Astyanax mexicanus: one gene and its partner. The protein of the gene in region 1 interacts with the protein of each later gene in a biochemical or structural test. Links are inferred from orthologs where the notes say so. Each region holds a gene or a part of one and is shown in the gene's direction. Other genes may lie near its edges. The genes, in order: mettl22 and kin.

Region 1 (10,290 bases):
CACTTTATCACAAACTGGGTATCCAGTAGACAGATCCACTTTGTTTCTGGTCCTGAAGTCTGCGCTGCAAACAAACTCAATGAAGGCAGTCTGAGACTGACACTTGGTCTGGGGGAAGGATGCAGGTTTACCACATGAATAGGCTTAAGTCTAAAGGGAAGGGAATTGAATCACTGAACCCATGCTTTTTACAGTCAGAAGCTGAATGCATTCATTATAATAGGCTGTCCACAAACACTTGAACAGAATCAGAAGTGCAGATCACTGACTGTGTCCACACTGTATCTCTCAGGCTCATCAATCTAATGAAGTATCAGACCCAAGCCTGATTTTCTGTGGGATTTCTTGAGTACACTTTTCAATCATCATTATTTTCTAAGCGCTCACATCTGGACATGCATGGAGACGTTGACTGAGGGAAATGTATCCAGGCGTGGCAGAGCGGATCGTTATTATTCTAGTGCTGGAGTCAATTTTACTTCTGAAGACGAAGGTACTCTAGATAAACCGCAGCTGATGATGATGCTCTGAGTGTGTTCTGTGCTTTAATGTGGCATGGTGCTCCAACAGGCTTCCCTTCAATGATCTCATTACCAGCTCAAACTACTGTTAAGTGCAATTATTTCATTATTCATGAAAGCTTTCTGGCTTTCTGAGGAGATCCACTTGCGGAAGGAACAGAAGAGTCAAAGTAAAATAAGTGACAAAATCAGGAGTTTCCAAAACGTTCTCTGTCCAATGGTGGAGTCTGACTTTGTGTCATTTCATTTACCACCCCATATAAGAAAATAGAAAATTAATACTACAGAATTCTACCTAAACCATGTAAATCCAAGAAATGTGTAATGTAGTGAAACTGGAGAAGATTAGATACATGAGATATGGTTCAATCCAAAAATTCTATATGGTTATGGGCCTCCCTTTTCATATGTTCAAAATACAAAATTTAAGAGACCAAGTTTCTGAATCAGTTTCTCTGAACATTGTTGTTTTAATTATATAACCTTTATTCTATGACCTGTTTTAAAGTTTGAAGATGTAGGAAAAATAGTTACAAGTATTTTTTTTTGTAAAAAAAAAAAAACCTTCTCCTGCTTGCTTTAATTAGAGTAATCAACATATAATATGAAAATTGTTCATCTCACATATTGGCAAAATTGCAAAAACTAAACTGAAACAAAATTGTAATGTTATGTTTAAATTATGTTATGTTATGTAAAACTATTGTGTTTTATATGTTGGTGTTTCAAAAGGAATAAAGTAGTGATATATATATATATATATATATATATATTTCTTTTTTTTTTGGGGGGGGGGGGGGATTTGTGAATTATACTTATCGATTATCCCATTACCTGTTAGAGGTAAGGAACATCATTGCACTAAATATTGATAGAATAATTAGTAATGGAGTTAGTAATGAAATATTAACACTGCTTGTAAGGTTTTTTTTTAATCTTTTGAATAATTAAAAGTGCACCGGGTCAAACTGACCCTAGAAGACCTTTGCTGTTCCTGACAAATGAACATAACAGGAGGGTTATTTATGCATAAAGTTGAACAAATCAGACCAATTTGTTTACTCAGCCATTTAAATCGCTAATATATTACAGAAAGAAAGTAATTAAAACCTCTGAACTAGGATTAACATACAGTAACAGTCAAACGTTTGGACACACCTTGAATTCACTAGTTTTTTTTTTTCATTATTTTTAAATCTTCTGCACTGTAGATTAATACTAAGCTCATTGGAAATATTTAATAAACATAAAAAGGTGTTAAACAAACCAGAATATGTTTTATATTTTAGATTCTTTAAACTAGCACCTCTTGCTTAGATTAGACAGTTTTGCACATCTTGGCTGGATTTTCTTCGTCAGCTTTATGAGGTAGAGTCACCTGGAATTCCAGTGTTTCAGTTAACAGCTGTGCTGCTGAACTCATAAAGAGTTAATTACTTGTTGAATTTCTTGCCTCTTAATAAAATGTTTGAGAGCATCAGTTGTAAAGTAGTGAAGAGGTAGAGTTACAGGTATACAGTGAATAGTGAATATTTGAGTAATGTTGTAATCAGTATTATGGCAAGAATTACACAAGTAACTAAAGAAAAATATGTACATTAGGAAACGAAGGTCAGTCAGTCTGAAAAAGTTCAAAAACTTACAAGACCATCAAAAATTATATAATGAAACTGGTTCTAATCAGAGAAACAGTTACATCTGTTGAGTTACCAGCCTCAGAAGCCGCAAGTTACCAGCTCACCAGATAAGAGCACCTAAATGCTTCTTCACAGAGTGTTTTGGTTTGTTTAACATTTTTAAGTTACTACATGATTCCTTATGTGTTTCATCATAGTCTGAATGACTTCAGTATTCATTTACAATGTAAGAAATAATTATTATTATCGCTGTCATACAAAAATAGTCTCTTTTTGTTGATTTTTACTTTTTCACAAAATGCTGTTTATTGTCAGTTGTTCTTGATATTATGTCCAGATTTTATAATGAATGGACCAATAGAAAAGCAGCAATAAAATGCATTATCTATTACAAATTTAAAGAAAAGAAATAAAGCAGCTCTTACTCAGTATCTGCCTCTGAGAGTCTGTGAAGTTTCTTCCATTCCTGAATGGATTCATAAACGGCCAGCACTGGTTCTGAACTGCATAAAAAATTATAAAAGAACTTAAACACAAACTTATAAATATATATTATATAATAAATCATTTCTATCACACAGACAGTGAAGAGACTTACGGTTGCAGGTCCTCCACAGTCCAGAGTGTGAGCTGAGAGGAACAGAGGAGTTGGTGTCTCTTTTAGAGGTGTCAATAATGTACCAGAAATCCGTCCCAATGGCCAGAATCAGACACACGAAGCTCAGGACCCCGAAAGAGGCCACAGACACAGCCAGCCCCCCCAGAGTGAGCTTCATCCTCAGAGCTGAGGGTCTCCTGTGGGCTCCAGGCTGAGTACAGAACAGCAGTGAGAGCAGCTGGAGCGCCTGTGTGAGTGTGTGAGGGTGTGTGTGTGTGTGGCTGGTGTGTGTGTGAGGGTCTTTACTGCAGTGTGGGGTTGTGAACAGGAGGCGGCAGTGTGCTCTATTAACAGACCACTATAAATGATCCTCTCTCTCTATCTTTCTCCCCCACTCTGTATTTCTCTATTCATCCCTCCGCTTTTTATGTTCTCCCTCTCTTTCTCTTTCTCTCTATCAATATCCCTCGCTCTCTGTTTCTCCCATTACTCACTTGCTCTCTATCTAACCATACCTCCCTTCTCTCTCTGTCTATCTCTCTTTTTCTTTGGCCCTATCTTTCGCTACCTTTTTCTCTATTTCTCAATATCCCTCACTATATCTTTCTTCCACACTCTGTCTTTCTCTATTGTCCCTGCAGTTCTTGTTCTATCTCCCTCTCTCTCTCTCTCTCTCTCAATATCCCTCGCTCTCTGTTTCTCACCTGCATTCTTTATCCTTGCCTCTCTTTCTCTCTCTCTCTTTCTCCCCACTCTGTATTTCTCTATTCATCCCTCTGCTTTTTATGTTCTCCCTCTCTTTCTCTTTCTCTCTGTCAATATCCCTCGCTCTTTATTTCTCCCATTCCGTACTTGCTCTCTATCTAACCATACCTCTCTATGTCTTTATTTCTCTCTCTGTCTATCTCTCTCTCTCTCTGCCCCATCTTACCTTTTTCTCTATATCTCAGTCTTTCAATATATCTCAAGTCCCTCACTATTTCTCTCTCTTTTCCCTTTTCTTTCCTCTTTCCCTTTGTCCTATTCTCCATCTCTCTGTTTCTCTCCTCATCTTCACTATATCTCTCATTCTTCTCTCTATTTCTCTCTGCCTGTTTGTTTCTCTATATGCTTTCCACCTTCTTTTCACTTCCCCTCTTTTTTCTCTCTCTCTCTCTCTCTCTCTCTGTTTTTTACTCAGTCTATCTGACACTTCTCTTTCTTCTTCTTCTATTCCACTTTCTCAACATTCTCTCTCTCTCTTTTCTTTCTCTACCATTATTCCATCTCCTTGTTTTTTTCTTTCTCTCTCTACATATCCGTCCTCTTCTTGCTCTCTCTTTCTCACTCTTTCTCAATATCACTCATTCTCTGTTTACCTTACTGTCTTTCTCCACCTTTAAATCTCCCCCCTCCCTCTGTCTCTATGTTTCTATCATCAGTCACCCCCACTTTGTCTAAGCTTATCTCTTCTGCTCTTCCCACTCTCTCGCTCTCTCTCTCTTACACACACTATCTCTCTTTTTCATTGCTCTGCTTCTCTCTTTCTTCATCTTTATGTATCGCTCCCCTTCTCACACTCCCTCTCTCTCACACACTTTCACTCTTAATATCCCTCATTCCTGCTCACTCTGTTCTCTCCTTAGTCTCTCCCAATCAGTCTTACACACCTCTCTTCACCACATCTATAGCACCACCAGTCAGTTGTGCTTTGCGCAGCTGGATTTAAGGCATGTCGGTGTGTCTTTGCTCTTCCTTTCCTGGGGCAGTCCTGATGAGAGCCAGTTTCATCATAACATTTTTAATGGTCTTTGCGACTGAAAAATGAAGATGCTTGAAGAAGTTCTTGAAATGTTTCGGATTGACTGACCTTCATTTCTTTCGTATTTCGTTTTCTTTAATTAGTTGAGAGTTCTTCTCATAATCTGGATTAGAACTCAAAATAGAGCTATTCACTGTATACCAACTGTACCTCTTCACAACTTTACAACTGATGCTCTCAAACTAATTAAAAGGCAAGAAATTCAGTACAGCTGTTACCTGAAAACCAATCCAGGTGACTCCACCTCATAAAGCTGACTGAGAAAATCCAGCCAAGAAAAAAAGATAAAAAGAAAATGCTCAGTATTAAAAAAAATACTAATGACAATATTGCAGATATTAGATGCTACACATGTATATACTAGTGCATCTCAAAAAATCTGAATATCATTGAAAAAAAATCATATTAATGGCACTCCTATTACTTTCTGTTACTGGAACTCATTGCTATTTCTGGCACTTATTAATATTACTTTTTATGTTTTGAGTAACAGGAATTAAAGTAATAGGAATGGGATTTAGCATATAATTAGCAAAAACATAGCATAGCAAAAGATAGTTAATAGCATGAGGAGACTATGCACATTTTAGTTATTTTACCAAAATTAGTATTTTAAAAATAAATAAAAATTAAACTAGTTAACTGGACAGAGTGTTGAGATGTTGAGTGTTGAGCTCCTCAGTCATAGTTAAAATAAGATCAAATACACAGAAAAGCAAATGAGGGAACTTAATTTATTTATTTATTTTCTCCATAATCTTAAGAAGAACCAACTGATGTCACTTCCTGTTGTAAATGTGACTTGTAGAATGTGCCAGATGTTTCAGATGGGGTAATGTGTTATGGTATCAGGACGGTGTGAAACCCAGGGACACAACAAAAATGTGTATTTTAACACAAATATGATTAATTTATTATGAAAAATATATTTTTAAGCATATATGGCATTTGAAATCTCACAACAATGCAAACAAATACATCTCTTTAGAGAGTGGGGACACGTAACAGATGCTATTTTTTTATTATTATTATTTTATTATTTATTAATGTTTTTAATTACATATCTTACTTTTCAATTAAGTCATGGTACAATACATTACGACTAATAATCTTTCCTGGGGACAGAAATGGTACCATTCGGTGGAATGGCCCATAGACATATACAGTATATTGCGTTGAGGGCTCCACAGCAGGTGCAGGAGGAACCAGGACAGGCGGAACTATTGTGCAGAGCGTCATGACTCACACGGTAATCTTTTTTTCCGGGCGCGCTGAATCTGGCTACGCTAGCTCTGTTTCTAAAAGCCTATCGGTGAAGTTTCGAGCTGATTTTAAGGTACAGAAAGAGAAGCTTGAGTTAAGAAAGGAGTTGTGCTTTATTGTCCTCCTCTCCAGCGGGTGGAGAGAGGGCTGAATAAGCTGGAGTTGAGCTGCAGAGCGGAGATTTCATCGGGATAAGGGGGTGTGTCTCCTCTAGCTTTAGCCAGCTAACCTCACTGACTTTAACCCTAAAGCTGATTAATGACTGATTATACAGCGAAAATAATTACTGAGCTACCGAAAAAGAGTTCAGAGTATCCACAGAAATGTGCTGTTATTCCAGTAAAGAATAAATAAAAGTAGTTAACTAAAGCTGGGTAACAGAAAGCAGCTCGAGTAGCGTTAATAACCTTTCAGGTAGGTGTAGGTTAGGTCAGTGTGTCTCTGATACAGGTGGCCGATACTACCGCTGTTATTTTAGATTCGGTACCAAATAATACCGTGTATAATATACCGATACTGATATGAAAATTTGTCCTGTACATGAAACAGAAAAAACAAACAAACAAAACAAACACAAATCTTCTGAAAGCCAGGAAATGGTCAGTATTAAAAAATAAAATCGTTGTGTTTTTCAGTATGTTACATACACACACTTTCAGAGCCCCCAAAGTAAAAAACATTATAGTTAAAAGATAATAAATAAAGAAAGTAAAGGATGCAGCTCTGGAAATGAATTATACAATTGAGGAAATGTTTTTAGCAAATTGAGAGAACAATTTATTTAATCATAGAATGAATAGTAATGTTGAGGCAACAATTCCTTACATATGGAAAACATAATTTATTGAATTGAGATTTTTCTAACCTAATTAATCACATATTGTTAGACCTAGGGAAATATTAATTATATTAATGGAGCCATTTATTCATATGAATAAACTTTTTTATATTATATTATTTTATATTATTGCCAGTAGGACAAATCTGAGCCAGTGATTGGGTAGCATATAGTGGCTAATTGCTTTCATTAGAACCTTGCTGACCTCACATACAGCTGAAAAAAGGGTAACTAAAGTGCTGTTGCCAGTTACATCTCTATTAGTACACTTTTCTGTATAGATGTTACACATTTATTACCTAAATTTACTACATCATCATTATCTGCACAGCTACCCTTTTAGATACAGTGTTTTCCCACTGCCGATGCCGATATAGGATATTACACGTGTGTATATATTTGCTAATGCAGATATACATATTTATTACTTACAAAGAGCCTAGACACCCCATTATAACTTTATAAATAAATGCAATATCTACCTGCCTTGTATTGTAGCTTTTAACTAACTTTATATAAACAATATAATGAAAAGTTGTTTTGTTTTTTGTTTTTTTTTTTACATTTTTTTTTCTATTGAAAGAAATAAAAATATTTGTTTTTAAATATCTTAAATCAATGGATTTTAGAAGCATGCCTAGTGTTGGACAGTTGTAATAGCATAGCCAGTATCGTTTGGTCCTTTTGGCATACAGTATAAATGGCAGCAAATATCAGTTTGAAATATCGAACAAATCTAGGCATTGGTCAGATGCCAATGAGTCTAGAAAATGCAATTATCGGCGGATACAGTTATAATTAGATACAGATATTGTTGTGCAACCCAAAATATAATGTGTATTTTTTTCATTTTATTAGTTTGGAACATGCTATCAGCTTATGGCTATGCAGGAAAAGAAAGCAAGATGTGTATTCAGGTGCATCTCAAAAAAGTAAATCATTGAAAAGTTACTATATTTCAGTAATTTATTCAAAATGTGAAATGTATACTGTATATTATATAGATGTATTACACACAGAGTGATCTACTTTAAGCATTTATTAATTTTATCATTGATGATTATGACTTCCATACTTAATAAAAACCCAAAAGTCAGTATTTCAGAAAGTAAGCATAATATATAAGACCAATTGGTACTTTTAACAGTGTGAGCAGTGTGCAGAGTCCTGCTGGAAAATGAAATCCGCATCTCTATAAAAGTTGTCAGTAGCAGAGGTTCAGCATGAAGTGCTGTAAGATTTTGTGGGAAAACAAAACTGCACTGACTTTAGACTTGATAATAAAACACAGTGGATCAACACCAGCAGATGACATGCCTCTTCAAAACCACTATTAGCAGTAGAGTGTGCTAGTTTAATTTCCTGTAAACCCTTAATTTCCTGTTAACCATGAAAAAGCCCTATTTTTTAAAAGTATTTGTTCTCTAGGTCATGCACAAAAACATCTGTGTCCACTGTTATGTTAGAATGCCAGCTGCCCTTTAGCTTGTGTACGGTAGTCTTTTCATGATGAATTGACTATAGGATAGGTCCATATTGATTTTAATAAAGGTTAATTCTGTCTTTATTTTTATTTCAGAGATCTAAGTGCCATTGTCTATCCGTCTAAATCAGTGATATACCTTTTGTATTTGCTTGTTTTCAGGAACAGTGGGCGGAGAAAGGACATACAGGGGTGGCCATGGACCAGGTCACCTTCCAGAGTGACACAGTGCTCTCAGATGTGCACATTTTGCTGCCAAATGTTCGTCACCTCATGGTTCGACTCAATAGCGTAGGACAGCCAGGTAAGGGGTGGGTGGGTTCACATGATAGTCTGGTCTGGCCATTCATGTATCAGTTTTTGTATTTTATTATTATTTTACTGTCCACTGTGGGTGGTAATGCCTTCTATAAGGAATTCCTGGTATGCACATGATGCGGTGGACGTTAAATACTAAAATCTCTGAACATTTTAATTAGAGGTACTGAATATTTATACGGACAATTATGCATAATAACCAAAAACATAGACATAGACAAACATAGTTTTTTCCCTCTATGGCTGTTGCCTATGGATGGCTGTGGCATCACCAAGAATCTTCCTTTGACAGCACCTTTGCATCTTGGGAGCACAAATACTTTTTTTTTCTTTCTTAATTTTTTATATCTAAATAATCGTAAAGGACATGCCCTGCACATGCATTTCTGGACAAGCTGCAATATTCAGAACCACAAATATGACTGTCATATGAATGTCATATATGTCATTACACAGTTGTCGTATGCATTTTCTTGTCTGCTTCAACAGAGTTACACAGTGCAGTTAGCAGTGTGCTGAGCTTTAGGCTGAAAGAAATAGAGATGCTTTTCTCTCTATTGTAATGGAACTAATGCAACTTATGATTATTTTGGTATTTTGGTAGTCGACTAATCTGACGATTATTTTTTTGATTAATCAATTAGTCAGCGATTATTTCTGCAATCTCTAAAAACGATAGAAACAGCAGAACATGAAATTTAAATGGCATTTAGATGTCTGAATGTGGTTTAAACATGAAAAGTACTGATATTTAGTAATTAAAAATGTAATCTCTTGTGTTTTGGGCATTTTTGGAAACACAAACTAAGTTGAGGGTAAACTGTGTGAGTGAGCTGTTTACCCATCTCCCATTGCGCTTCTGTCACCAGCACTCTGTGTAATGCGGTACTGTTACAAATTACTGATTAGTTGACATTGAAATTTGTAGTTGACAAATTTTAAAAATCGACATTGTCGATTATATCGACTAATCGTTACAGCCCTACATGTTGTTGAAACACAATGTTTTGTTAAGGGAAAATTTTCTATGCTTCCTGTTGTTGTTTTTATGCTTCAAGAGAGCTTCTTTTTTTTCCCGCCACCCCTTCTCTTTGGAGGAGTAATAAAGCTTTATTAGTGTTTATACAGAGTTATAGTTTCTGTGGTCATTATGCATATAATAGAAAGATAATAATATAAGCAAAATACCAGGCAAAAAAGGAGGAGTGAATATAAAGAAACCCTCAGAAATTAGGGGGAAAAAGATGGAAAATATAGCAAAAAAGACAAATATTAATGAACATCAACAAAGAAAGCAGAACAGCTACGAAGTAGTACGTTTTTGTACTGTATGTGGAAATAAATAGAGAATAAAGAGAGAAAAGATGTATAAAGGACAAGAGGGAATAAAGATAAGTATCTGCTCAATCTGTGTGTAAAAAAGACTTGTGTCATCTGCTTAATGCGAACGTTACATTATTAATGCTACTACTGTGTCTAATAACCCCAGTCATGCTTGTTGCTTAATTCCAGTCTGCTTTGTTTTCCTTTATGTCACATTTGAGTTCAGCTGCTGCTGCGCTAATGAAGGCTAGACCGCTAGACATATTGCGCCTGTTCAGCTTTATGTCTTACCAGAGCGGTAACACTTCCTATGAAGCCTGTATTCATAATGCATTATGAGTGTATTTATAATGCGTTATATGACATACATAATGCCTTATAATGACTGTAATAAGCTTGTATAATAACTCATAAGCGCTTACAATGACATTCATAACACATTATAAGCTACAAGTATAAGGATTTATAAAGCCAGGGTTTATAATGCCTTATAATGTCTGTTCATAAG
Region 2 (10,355 bases), on another chromosome or scaffold:
GATTGGTTGTTAAAGTTTGTGAAACTGACACCAATAAATCCATAATTCCTGGTAATTACCTATTTAGGAGTATTTTATCCTCCTTTTATCCACACAGGTGAGATATATTGATTATTGTAGAATTACGGCATAGGGATATCATCATGTTCAATGTATCATTACAGTATTGTCACATGTAAATGCCTTGTGATTCATAGTCCTACTACACTTTAATTGTGCCTATTAAATTGTCTAATAGTTTAAGCCAGATGTACCAAAATGTGCTTTAACAACAACTATTTCCTTTAATAAAAACTCCTTTTGTAAGACAAACAGGATAATGATTATCGCGATGAAGGCTGTATTTACAGGCGTTCTTGCTGGCGCTGTCCATAGCGGTCATCCTAGCGCTCTGCTCGCTGGTGGTGGACTCCTTCAGCCCAAAGTAGATAATGTTGACCAGAGCAAACTCCTGATAGTTCCTCAAAACATCAGCATCGATGTCATCATAGATGCCCATGTTCTCTGCATTGGCAAAAAAGAAAAGATTAGTATATGGCTTTGCATTAACTATAGAATGTGTTGCTTACAAACCATACTGCTGTTTCCAGTATTACCTGAGTTTGCAACTGTGTCCACGGAAAACAGGGGCTTCTCATCTGTCTTGTAGGAAATAACAGACCTGCACACACACAGAGGAACAAGTCTTACTTAGAGCTAATTCTGTACAATAACTCAGTCAACAAAACAAAACAATGAACTGACACAATACAAATGCAGTACCTAAAAAAAGTGAGAACACCCTTCACTATATTATATTACAAAAATGTAAGGGGTGTACTCACGGTTTACTTTTTTACATTTTATTATACATTTTTATGGGACAATACTGAAGATGTACAAATGTATAGTATTCGGTGTAGAGCTTGTGTAACAGTGTAAATTTGCTGTGCCCTAAAAAAAACTTAACGCACAGCCATTTATGTCTAATGTCTAAACTGCCAAATTTTGCAGAATTAGCCATTTTTCCTCCTTACTGTCATAAATTGTTAATGTAACTGTACATACTGACAAAATATTGAACTTGAATGTTTTAATAAATAAATAAATATTGGGGGCTGCACCCCATTGAAAAGAACTGCAGAAATGAACCATCCAATATTTTATTAATGCAATCAGTGCACCTAAAATAAGTGCAACAAGTGCATCTACTAGGCAGACATAATCCAATCCATTCCAGGAGACCCATATGGCAAGGAAAACAAGTACAGTGCAATTTATGCATGCTTAATAGCAATTTGTAGTCAAATCAAATCACAGCATGTGCAACGCAAAATTACATGATTTTATTTTATCACCCTTTTCTCTTTATTTGTTGCTAAACACACAGTACAGTGTATATCTAGCAGGGGCAGATTATAACTACCCAACATTTATGTTACTCCAAAATCTGCTATACAGAGTGAACCATTCATTTAAAGTCATGCTGGACATCCATTTCTGGTAGATTTGCATGTACTTCTGGAGCTCTGCAAAAGGTGCTTTATAACACTGACCTGAATCTGTTGTAGATGATGGAGCCCTGGTCAAACTCATAGCCAGAGTCCAGCAGCTCTATGGCAATGGCAGAAGCATCAGTGAAAGTTGGGGGTTTTCTGCCCACCTCTTTACAGTTCATGAGGATGTGTTTGCCATGGGTCCTGGAAGGAAGAAAACAAGAGAGAGATCACAATCACACACACTATGCTACCTCTGCACACTATGCTACCCAGCATCCACTGATCCCTCTTTGCAGTTTTAAGTTGACAGTAAGTTGCTTTTGTTCCCAGTTGCTTTCATTTTGTTAATATCACCAACAGTTGACTAAAGGAATATTTAGTAGCGAGGAAATTTCTAGCTTAGCATTAGCCACCTGGCTGCCAGGAACTGGGTAAACAGGTTTTAGGATGGTTAAATCGGGCTGCCCCCCTTTAATTAGAGGCTTTTGTGCAGCAGAATTGATGGTATAATTATGTCATTAAAAAATAATAATTATTGTCAGTCATTATTTTTTTTATTATTATTTATTAAAAAAAAAAAATAAAAGGTTTACTTTACTTGTTTTACTTGACTACCTATTTATTTAATTACTTATTTTAAATTATTTATTTGAATTTGTATTTGTTACTGATATTTATAAATTCCTCCAGTGTACAGTTTTTGCCTGTTTGCCCAACATTAATGACTGTGGATTTTATACCAATTAAATGGTACAGAATGCTCTTCTGTAGTTGGCTGAACAGCAGTCCTTCTCTAGTCCTAGAGTCTGACAATGATACCTTTACGATTACAAATGGTAATTGTTAGTTATTAAATGTCTACTCATAATATTCAACGACTAAAACTATTTGGACAAATATTTATACTGGTTATCTGATTTTTTTTAAACATGTATACTAGGTTTGATCTTCAAATTCAGCCATCAGCCATGTTTCTTTTTGTTCAATCAAAAGCTTTTATTTTGGTGCAAAGAAGACATTAAACCCAAATGAAGATGTTAGATTCACAAATAACATTCCATAAAACCAATTCAGCTCCTACAAGGTAAAATTCCAGTGAGAGGCAGTAAGAGACAATAAAATAACAGGAGAAAGAAGCCGTACCTGTACAGCAGACCCCTCAGCTTGTCTCCCACATTCACCACCATCACCTCTTTGCCAGCACCGGAGAGCTTGGCGATTTCATTCTTCATGGCTTTAGCCACGCTGCTGTGGATGGCACCGCACAGCCCACGATCAGACGACACGCCAATGAGCAAGTGCTTGTTCTTATCATCTGTAGCCTTTATGTCAGCCTTCTCATACAGCGCTGCAACACACACAGTACAAATATTACAGTGACAATAAATCACAATAACATCACAGTATGAATGAAATCACAATATGAGCTAATGAAAGCTGAGCTGCTGTATATATCTAAATAGGCCTGTTTCCCCCCCCCGCCAGAGATATTTTTAACATAATGACAATACAATTAAATCATTCTTTATGAACAAAACTTGTTGTATCAATGTTGTGGCATCACAGCATGGCAGCGATAAAGCACCATACTGTCAAGATTATTTGAGTTTGGGAAACTCATTCTGCACATTTGTGATTTGTCAGCAGGTCTCATTGGTGGATTATAGTCTGATGTTATAGCAATGAGATATTTTGCAATTAACAGGCTAAATCTATTCAAGGAAACTTACAGAGAGCACCAGTGCCATAGACACGAGCTGGCTTCAAGGCCCTCTCAGCCCTAGCATACTTGGCGGCGGCCACCATCTTCATGGACTTGGTGATCTTCTGGATGTTCTTGACGGACTTCAACCGAATGGTGACTAAAGATCAAAACAGAAAAGAAATGAACAAAAACGCATCACCGGGTCATACCCCCAGTCAGTCAATATGCCATAAAACAGATGTTACATGCAAGCAAATCAACACAATTAAACTGAATAACATTAGATGCACAATGATATCGGAATTATATCAGTAATTGCTGATAAATGCTTTTTTCCTCCCATTATTTCCAACCTGGTCCTCGCTAAAGCATGAATTGTATGCTGGAAAAGGACCAAACACTGTGGCTACTATGGCACTATGGCTACAGTGATGTTCACTGGGGGCAAACAGAACAGCTCTGCTAGGAGTTCTGAACTTCATAACTGAAGACCAGAGTAATACAGTACAGACATCATACATGTCATATCAAACAGTAGAACCGTCCATATGTAGCTACTAGCCAGCAAAGTTACATCTTAAGGACAGCACAAAATAGCCATTCATTAATCTCAGAAAACAGTTAGCATGCAGGCTAACATGCTCCAGTCCTTACTGCTAAAGTTAGCTGTAAACTAGCATTCCAGCATTCTGTGGTCAATAACTAAAGAACGGAGTGAAATATAGCCATAATCCACTTTTTTATTAAACCACAGATCCTACTAATCTAAACAGCACAGTGCTATCCATCTGTTATCAAACAATAGCTATTAATTCAATTCAGAAATCAGTTAGCATTATGGCTAACCTGCCAGTTTGGGTTTCACAATAAAAGTCTCATGGCAAATCGTATTAAAATGTAAAACCAGCATTTCATTTTATTTGGACTATTTTATTTTATTTGAAACTAACTAAGTAAACTTTTGATCAAAATACAAAATACAAAAAAAACACGTTACTAAAGGTTAATATTTATATCACCTAATATGCCAAGATTTTTGTCAACTGTCTGCCTGACATTACACCTCTAAATCTTGAGGATTTCTATTCTAACATTACAAAAAAAGCTTTAATGTTTTATAAGGAACATTACTGAAAAGCAGAATTGTAATTGTAATAGAAAATATTTAAAAAATATTTACTTAAATATGTCAAAATATAACGAATAAAATCTTAAAATTGTTTTATTCCTAAACTTCATTTTAAAATCAATATTTTCCTGAATATAAATGAAACTGTTCATCTCCTCCAAAACATTCCTTACATTTTCAGACATGCATAATTTGGGTTTGATTCCTGTCACTGACCTGGAATTATTTAGTGGAGTAGAGCATGAACAGGTAGCTCAAGTGTCCAGTTGGATTTTAAAGGCCTCAAATTTTCAGAATGTAAATAAGTTATTTTACTGCAATAAAAATAAGTATTTTGCATCTTCTATAAATGCTTTGTAATTTTTAGGTAAATAAATATGCAGCTTTAAAAAAAAGTCCTTACATACAAATACATACAGTACATCAACTGACTGAGGTTCATCACAAGGAGCTTTTAAGTCAATTATCCCTCAGCTATTTTTTCTACTTAAAATTGTACAGTTTAAAACACTTTAACAGCAGCACAAACAACTAATTTGTAGTATTTAGATATAAAGTCATAAAAGCTATACTGATGTGTAGTCTGTGTGTATCAGACATATCAGTGTGTATATCAGATATATGCATCTGTACAGAATTCCCACATCATTGCATCCCAAACTAAAATAGATAATTATATGTTTAATGAAAATCTCTGTATGTATAAATATAAATGCTTTAGTTTACTTACTGTCCTTCAAGGTAGCCATGTTCCTGACCTGCCCACTGCAACAAGGAGAGGATTCAATCAGTTATATTAAACAGCTTCAGTTTTCTTATAGGGACCAGCATCACTTACATTTTACACTTAAACTATCTATATATTTAGGCCCTAATACTAGATGATATGAAGCAGTCATCAAGCATGTGTAGCTCTAATACAAACAGGTCAAACTGCTAAACCCAACTACAATTTACACAGCTATTTAACTATGTAAACCCGTGTGTTAATTATTTTATTATATTTTGGGTAATATAGGGCAGTGGATAAATGCAGAGGGTTAATATTGATTATAATACTCAGACTGGTGAAGTTCACACTCTCAGGCTTAATCCAGCCGTTGACGTTAAGCTACTGAGGCCTACCGGGACCGGCTCGTCCTTGCGAGCTTCTGACCCGAATAACAGACAGAACCGGGCCCTGAACACCTTCACTGCACAGTAATACTGCTTTACACAATGTCATTAATCAGAAAATGTAAAAATGAAGAGTTTTAAAGGCTTTACCATTGTGGGAGGAACACCACCGCGCTGGCCCTGCAGAACATGTTCACTTCCAATGAAGGTCAGACTGGCCGCACTGCGCATGCGTACAGCGCCTACAAAATGTCGAATCCGGCTGACGTTCGACTCAGTTTACTGAACCGATTCTTCAGGTGATTCAGGTTCTTATTCAAAAACGGTAGATTCACGTTTGAATCGACTCACTTTAATAATATATTAAACGTTTAATAAAAAAAATCAAAATGGTATACTACTGTGGATTACATTTATGAATATTTAATAATTATTTTAAAAAGTCAATCTGTGGGGAAATTCATATCAACCATTAAAAAAATATATATTTGATTATTTGTTATTTTACACACATTTAATATTATTTAAAGCTTATTTTTTTAAATCAGGCTTAAAACCTACTTATATCTGCTGAAAACATACAGGTACATTACATTTGCAAAACTACATTTCTAATTAAGTTTCCTAATTTAGATTATGATTTTTTAGGTGACGTTTTCTGTACATTTATAATGATGTTTTTTATTATGATTTGAAATGAATATTTATTTACTGTATATACATTTAATGTGTAGGATTATATAAAATCCCCCTTTTCGTCGAATGAAGCTATGTGCTGTTTTTGATGCGCAATGGAGAAAATTACGTTATATTTTATTAAATTAAATTAAAACATCAGACTGAAGGAAAAAATACTTATTAAGAGTACTCACCGTATTAAAAGTCTTCAGTCCATAATTTAGTCGTAAACAACAGAAATCTTTACTAAAGCTTCACAGTTTGGGTAAAAAAATTGAAAAGGTTTGACTAATTGAAAGGAACCGATTCAATGGAGTGATTCATTCTGTTCTCTAGCTATTACAGATACACACGAAGTGATGACGTAGAGCGCATACACACACAAACACGAAGCGGCGAGGCAGAAGAACAGAACAGAAACGCAGGAACGGGGCTCTGGAACTGTTAACTAGTTTAGTTTAATAGTAAATTAACGCTTTGTTTATAGGTGTGTAGTCAGGGTTGAACATGGGAAAGGCGGATTTCCTGAGCCCTAAAGCGATAGGGAACCGAATTAAAGCTAAAGGGCTGCAGAAGCTGCGCTGGTACTGTCAGATGTGCCAGAAACAGTGTCGAGATGAAGTGAGTTAACTACAGTTTTCCTTTATTAAGTAGCTGTTAGTTAGCTTAGGTATATTAGTGTTATTTTTATTTTAGTTTCTGTACGGTTTTCTGTTTTCTTTGGTTGTAGTTTATACACTTTGATACGTGATGAGTGTCTGAGTATCGTGATATTGACAAACTCTCATATATAAATTCTAAGCTAGCTAACTAGCTAACAAACGTTATTTACGTTACTGAGTCATATTAGTGTAAAATATACACAAAGCTGTTGTGACACACTTACTCATAGTTTTTTTTAAGTAAAGGGTATTAAAACATAATTTACGCTGCTTTTGTTGGAGTCACTGTCTTTATATTTAGGAAAGACTTTTTCTAGATTCAGAAAATATTACTGTAATATTTCCCCAGCTTCCCAACTAATCTTATTCAAAAGTATTGGATGGAGCTCCATCTTTTCAGAGAACACAGTTCCACTGCTCTACATACTTGGGGTTTAGACCCTTTTAGCTAGAGTAGAATGCTCTGTGCTGGGCTAGAGATTAAATTCAACCCAGACCAAAATTTATGTAATGATATATGTCTTCATCATAAAATTATATAATTTTCTATATTGATGTAAAAGCCATTGCCCTTGGTGTAGGTAATCACACACTGATAGAACTGAGCGATACTGCAAAAATATTACATCACCGCATTTAAAGATAATCTTACGGTACTTAGTATTTTATAGTGTTTTTTGAAGAGATACAATGCTCTAAAATTAGCTAATTAACCAGCAGCTAGGTTATTAAAATGTAGAGCTCCAACACTGTATATCTGTATCTGGATCTTGAAGGGTTGTCTTAATTTTTAGTGGGAGGATTCTTATTTAAACTCTGTTCCAAGGGGAAGTGTTCCACTCAAACAAAGGGGTAGGAATTAGAATTGTGCCATAGTATACCGTCCAATGCTTAGAACAGTGATGTTGATGCTCTGTCTTTCTCAATTAGAATGGATTTAAATGCCACTGCATGTCCGAGTCCCACCAGAGACAGCTGCTGCTCGCCTCTGAGGATCCCAACCAGTTCATGAGCTACTTCTCAGAGTGAGTCCCCCTGTTTCTGAAGGTCACCAGTAGGGGTGTCACGATTCTCTAAATCCTCGATTCGATTTCATTTTCGATTTGAGGGTCACGATTCGATTCGATTCTCGATTTTCTTGTTTTTTTTTTCTTGTTATTATTTTATGCCTCATAAAATTTAAATAATATATTTATTATTATTATTATTATAAATATTATAAATATTATTATTATTATTATTATTTATTAAGATATATATGGTAATGCCATCTAGTGACTTTTTTTGGTAGCAACAGTGTGCACTATTAAAACAAGCAGTTTATCAGAGCTGTGTGTGGATGGCTGGTGAAACTGCTCATTACATGAAGCTGCAGTTCTTCATCCAACCACTAGCAGCAGCAGCACCCCGCTCTCTTCACTCAGTCACTACTTCAGTACAGCCCAGCCACGGGCTACAGAGCTCAGCCAGTCCGTTTTTACTGTTTCTGTAAACAAATAAAGGTTTTAACCCCACTAACCGGATAATACAGCTCACTACAGTTCATCTTTCAGCCCAAGCAGCTAACAGCAGCAGGTTAGAACAGTCGACACGGAGTCACTGCTCGGATTACATTATAAACAGGTCAGTTAGCGCGCTGCTAACCTCAGGATGTTTATAACTACGGAGTTTAGTGGACACACCACGGCCGCCAGGTAAGTCTTTTAAAGGCTACTGAAGACTATTAAAGGCTATTAGAGGTTATTGAAAGCATTATTGGGGGGCAGAAATCAGTACAGGCTGGTTAGATAAGTGATGTTTATTAACGTCATTAAAACAGATTTTGTCAGGTATTGTCTTATAAATATTTACACATAACTTATATCTCTCCTGAAAAGCTTTTATTTTAGTCAGAAACACGCTTGTGTTTACTTTATCTGAGAGAAAGATGTTTTTTTAATTCAATGGAAAGCAACAGGTGTAGTCAATTATAAGTTTAAGATTTTTAATCCACCTCACTGTGATCTATAGTCAGTGTTCTCAAGTCACACTGACACACGCATTTCAGCGAGTTCACACGCTCTCACCTGCGCGCACCCACCCCTCCGTTAGATACAGATACAAAACCTGCGCGCCCAACCCCCGCCCCCCCTCCCCCGTTGGACAGATAAAAACAGTGATCACACTCCCGCCGACTGCGCTCATGCAGCGGCTCTCTATTTAAATGAATAGGATGCGCTGTGTTGGTGCCGCGCCATTTGCGTAGCGCGCTGCGCTATTTGCGTAGCGCGCGCAGGAGGGATCGTCGATCCTCTTTTTGACTTCGATACTCGAGATCGTGACCTCATTTAGATTCGATTTCGATAAAATATCGAGATCGTGACACCCCTAGTCACCAGTCATTAATACAACACTACTTACGTTAATAATCTGTGACTGAAGTTGATAACCTGTTTTAATTTTCTGTACAGGGAGTTTAAGAGTGACTTTCTGGAGCTGCTGAGAAGACGTTTTGGTGAGGCATGGTTTCATGTGATGATCAGCGTATTAAATGATGGTTAAATGATCAGTATGCTGTTATTTACTCTCAGTAATACCTGTCTGTTAAACAGGGTCTGTGTTTTTGTGTGTTTACAGGGACGAAGAGAGTCCACAACAACATTGTATATAATGAGTACATTAGTCACCGGGAACACGTTCACATGAACTCCACTCAGTGGGAGACCCTTACAGATTTCACCAAATGGTTGGGGAGAGAAGGTAAGCACAGAAATATACAAACATGTTTGAGTTATGCATTTAATGAAACAATTGCGGGTACATATGTGACACTTTACATGGAGGAATGTTAAACCCCTGCACAACTTAAGAAATGATATGTCCCATCCATTTATACATATGTATCACTTACAGAGAGACTAGACATCTTGGTATACCTATAAAAGTAATAAAAAATAAATAAAAAATAGCTTTTTAAAACTATCACAGCCACTGTTATCCAGTTGGTCCTGCTTTTTGGGGCATACATTAAATACGTTAACTAGAATTGATTTTAAATATTGGCCATATCGGCTGATGCAGATGATTCTACAAAAAGCATTAATCGACCAATACAATATATCTCCGACATTACTGTGCATCCCTAGTCAGTGTGTGTAAATGACCTCTGTTCTAATTGTGCCCTGTTCAAAAAAGCAGCTGGGGCTGAAAAAAATATACAGAATAACTTATAACTTCAGAGTAAATGTTTAACGCCAAACTTGCTTTTTGTAATTGACTACTTTTTCTGTCTTTCTGACTTATAGTTTAGATTGACAGTGGTGCTATACATGGTGAAATACCATAATTATCGAATGTACAAAAAATAGAATGTACAAAGCATTTCGGCTTAGAGTGAGAATTACAAAGACACCATTCTTCTCCTCACTAGAGTCAGAGGAGCATCAACAAGACCCTGAAGGTAATACGTTATCTATTGTCTGACACATGTGCATATGTAGGGTTTTGTAAAGTGGACGAGACCCCGAAAGGCTGGTATATTCAGTACATCGACCGGGACCCGGAGACCATTCGCAGACAGGAGGAGCTGGAGAAGAAGAAGAAGCAGG

What was found.
Region 2: of the proteins of mettl22 (region 1) and kin, one has a biochemical effect on the other in vitro, tested with the Homo sapiens proteins (2 studies listed by BioGRID). The link is inferred for Astyanax mexicanus from reciprocal best matches to the Homo sapiens genes METTL22 and KIN.

The regions. Positions count from the first base shown.
Region 1 is NC_064426.1:5,593,845-5,604,134, reverse strand, and holds the start of mettl22 (methyltransferase-like protein 22), read left to right. Parts: upstream 1-5,899; 5' UTR 5,900-6,341; coding exon 6,342-6,419; intron 6,420-8,303; coding exon 8,304-8,445; intron 8,446-10,290. Other genes in the region: transmembrane protein 114, read right to left, coding at 2,584-2,661, 2,757-2,934. UniProt on the Homo sapiens protein: Protein N-lysine methyltransferase. Trimethylates KIN at Lys-135 (in vitro).
Region 2 is NC_064409.1:21,088,488-21,098,842, reverse strand, and holds the start of kin (DNA/RNA-binding protein KIN17), read left to right. Parts: upstream 1-6,484; 5' UTR 6,485-6,613; coding exon 6,614-6,727; intron 6,728-7,698; coding exon 7,699-7,793; intron 7,794-9,218; coding exon 9,219-9,262; intron 9,263-9,384; coding exon 9,385-9,507; intron 9,508-10,247; coding exon 10,248-10,355. Other genes in the region: atp5f1c (ATP synthase subunit gamma, mitochondrial), read right to left, coding at 349-504, 597-661, 1,536-1,679, 2,622-2,826, 3,209-3,340, 5,043-5,077, 5,579-5,619. UniProt on the Homo sapiens protein: Involved in DNA replication and the cellular response to DNA damage. May participate in DNA replication factories and create a bridge between DNA replication and repair mediated by high molecular weight complexes.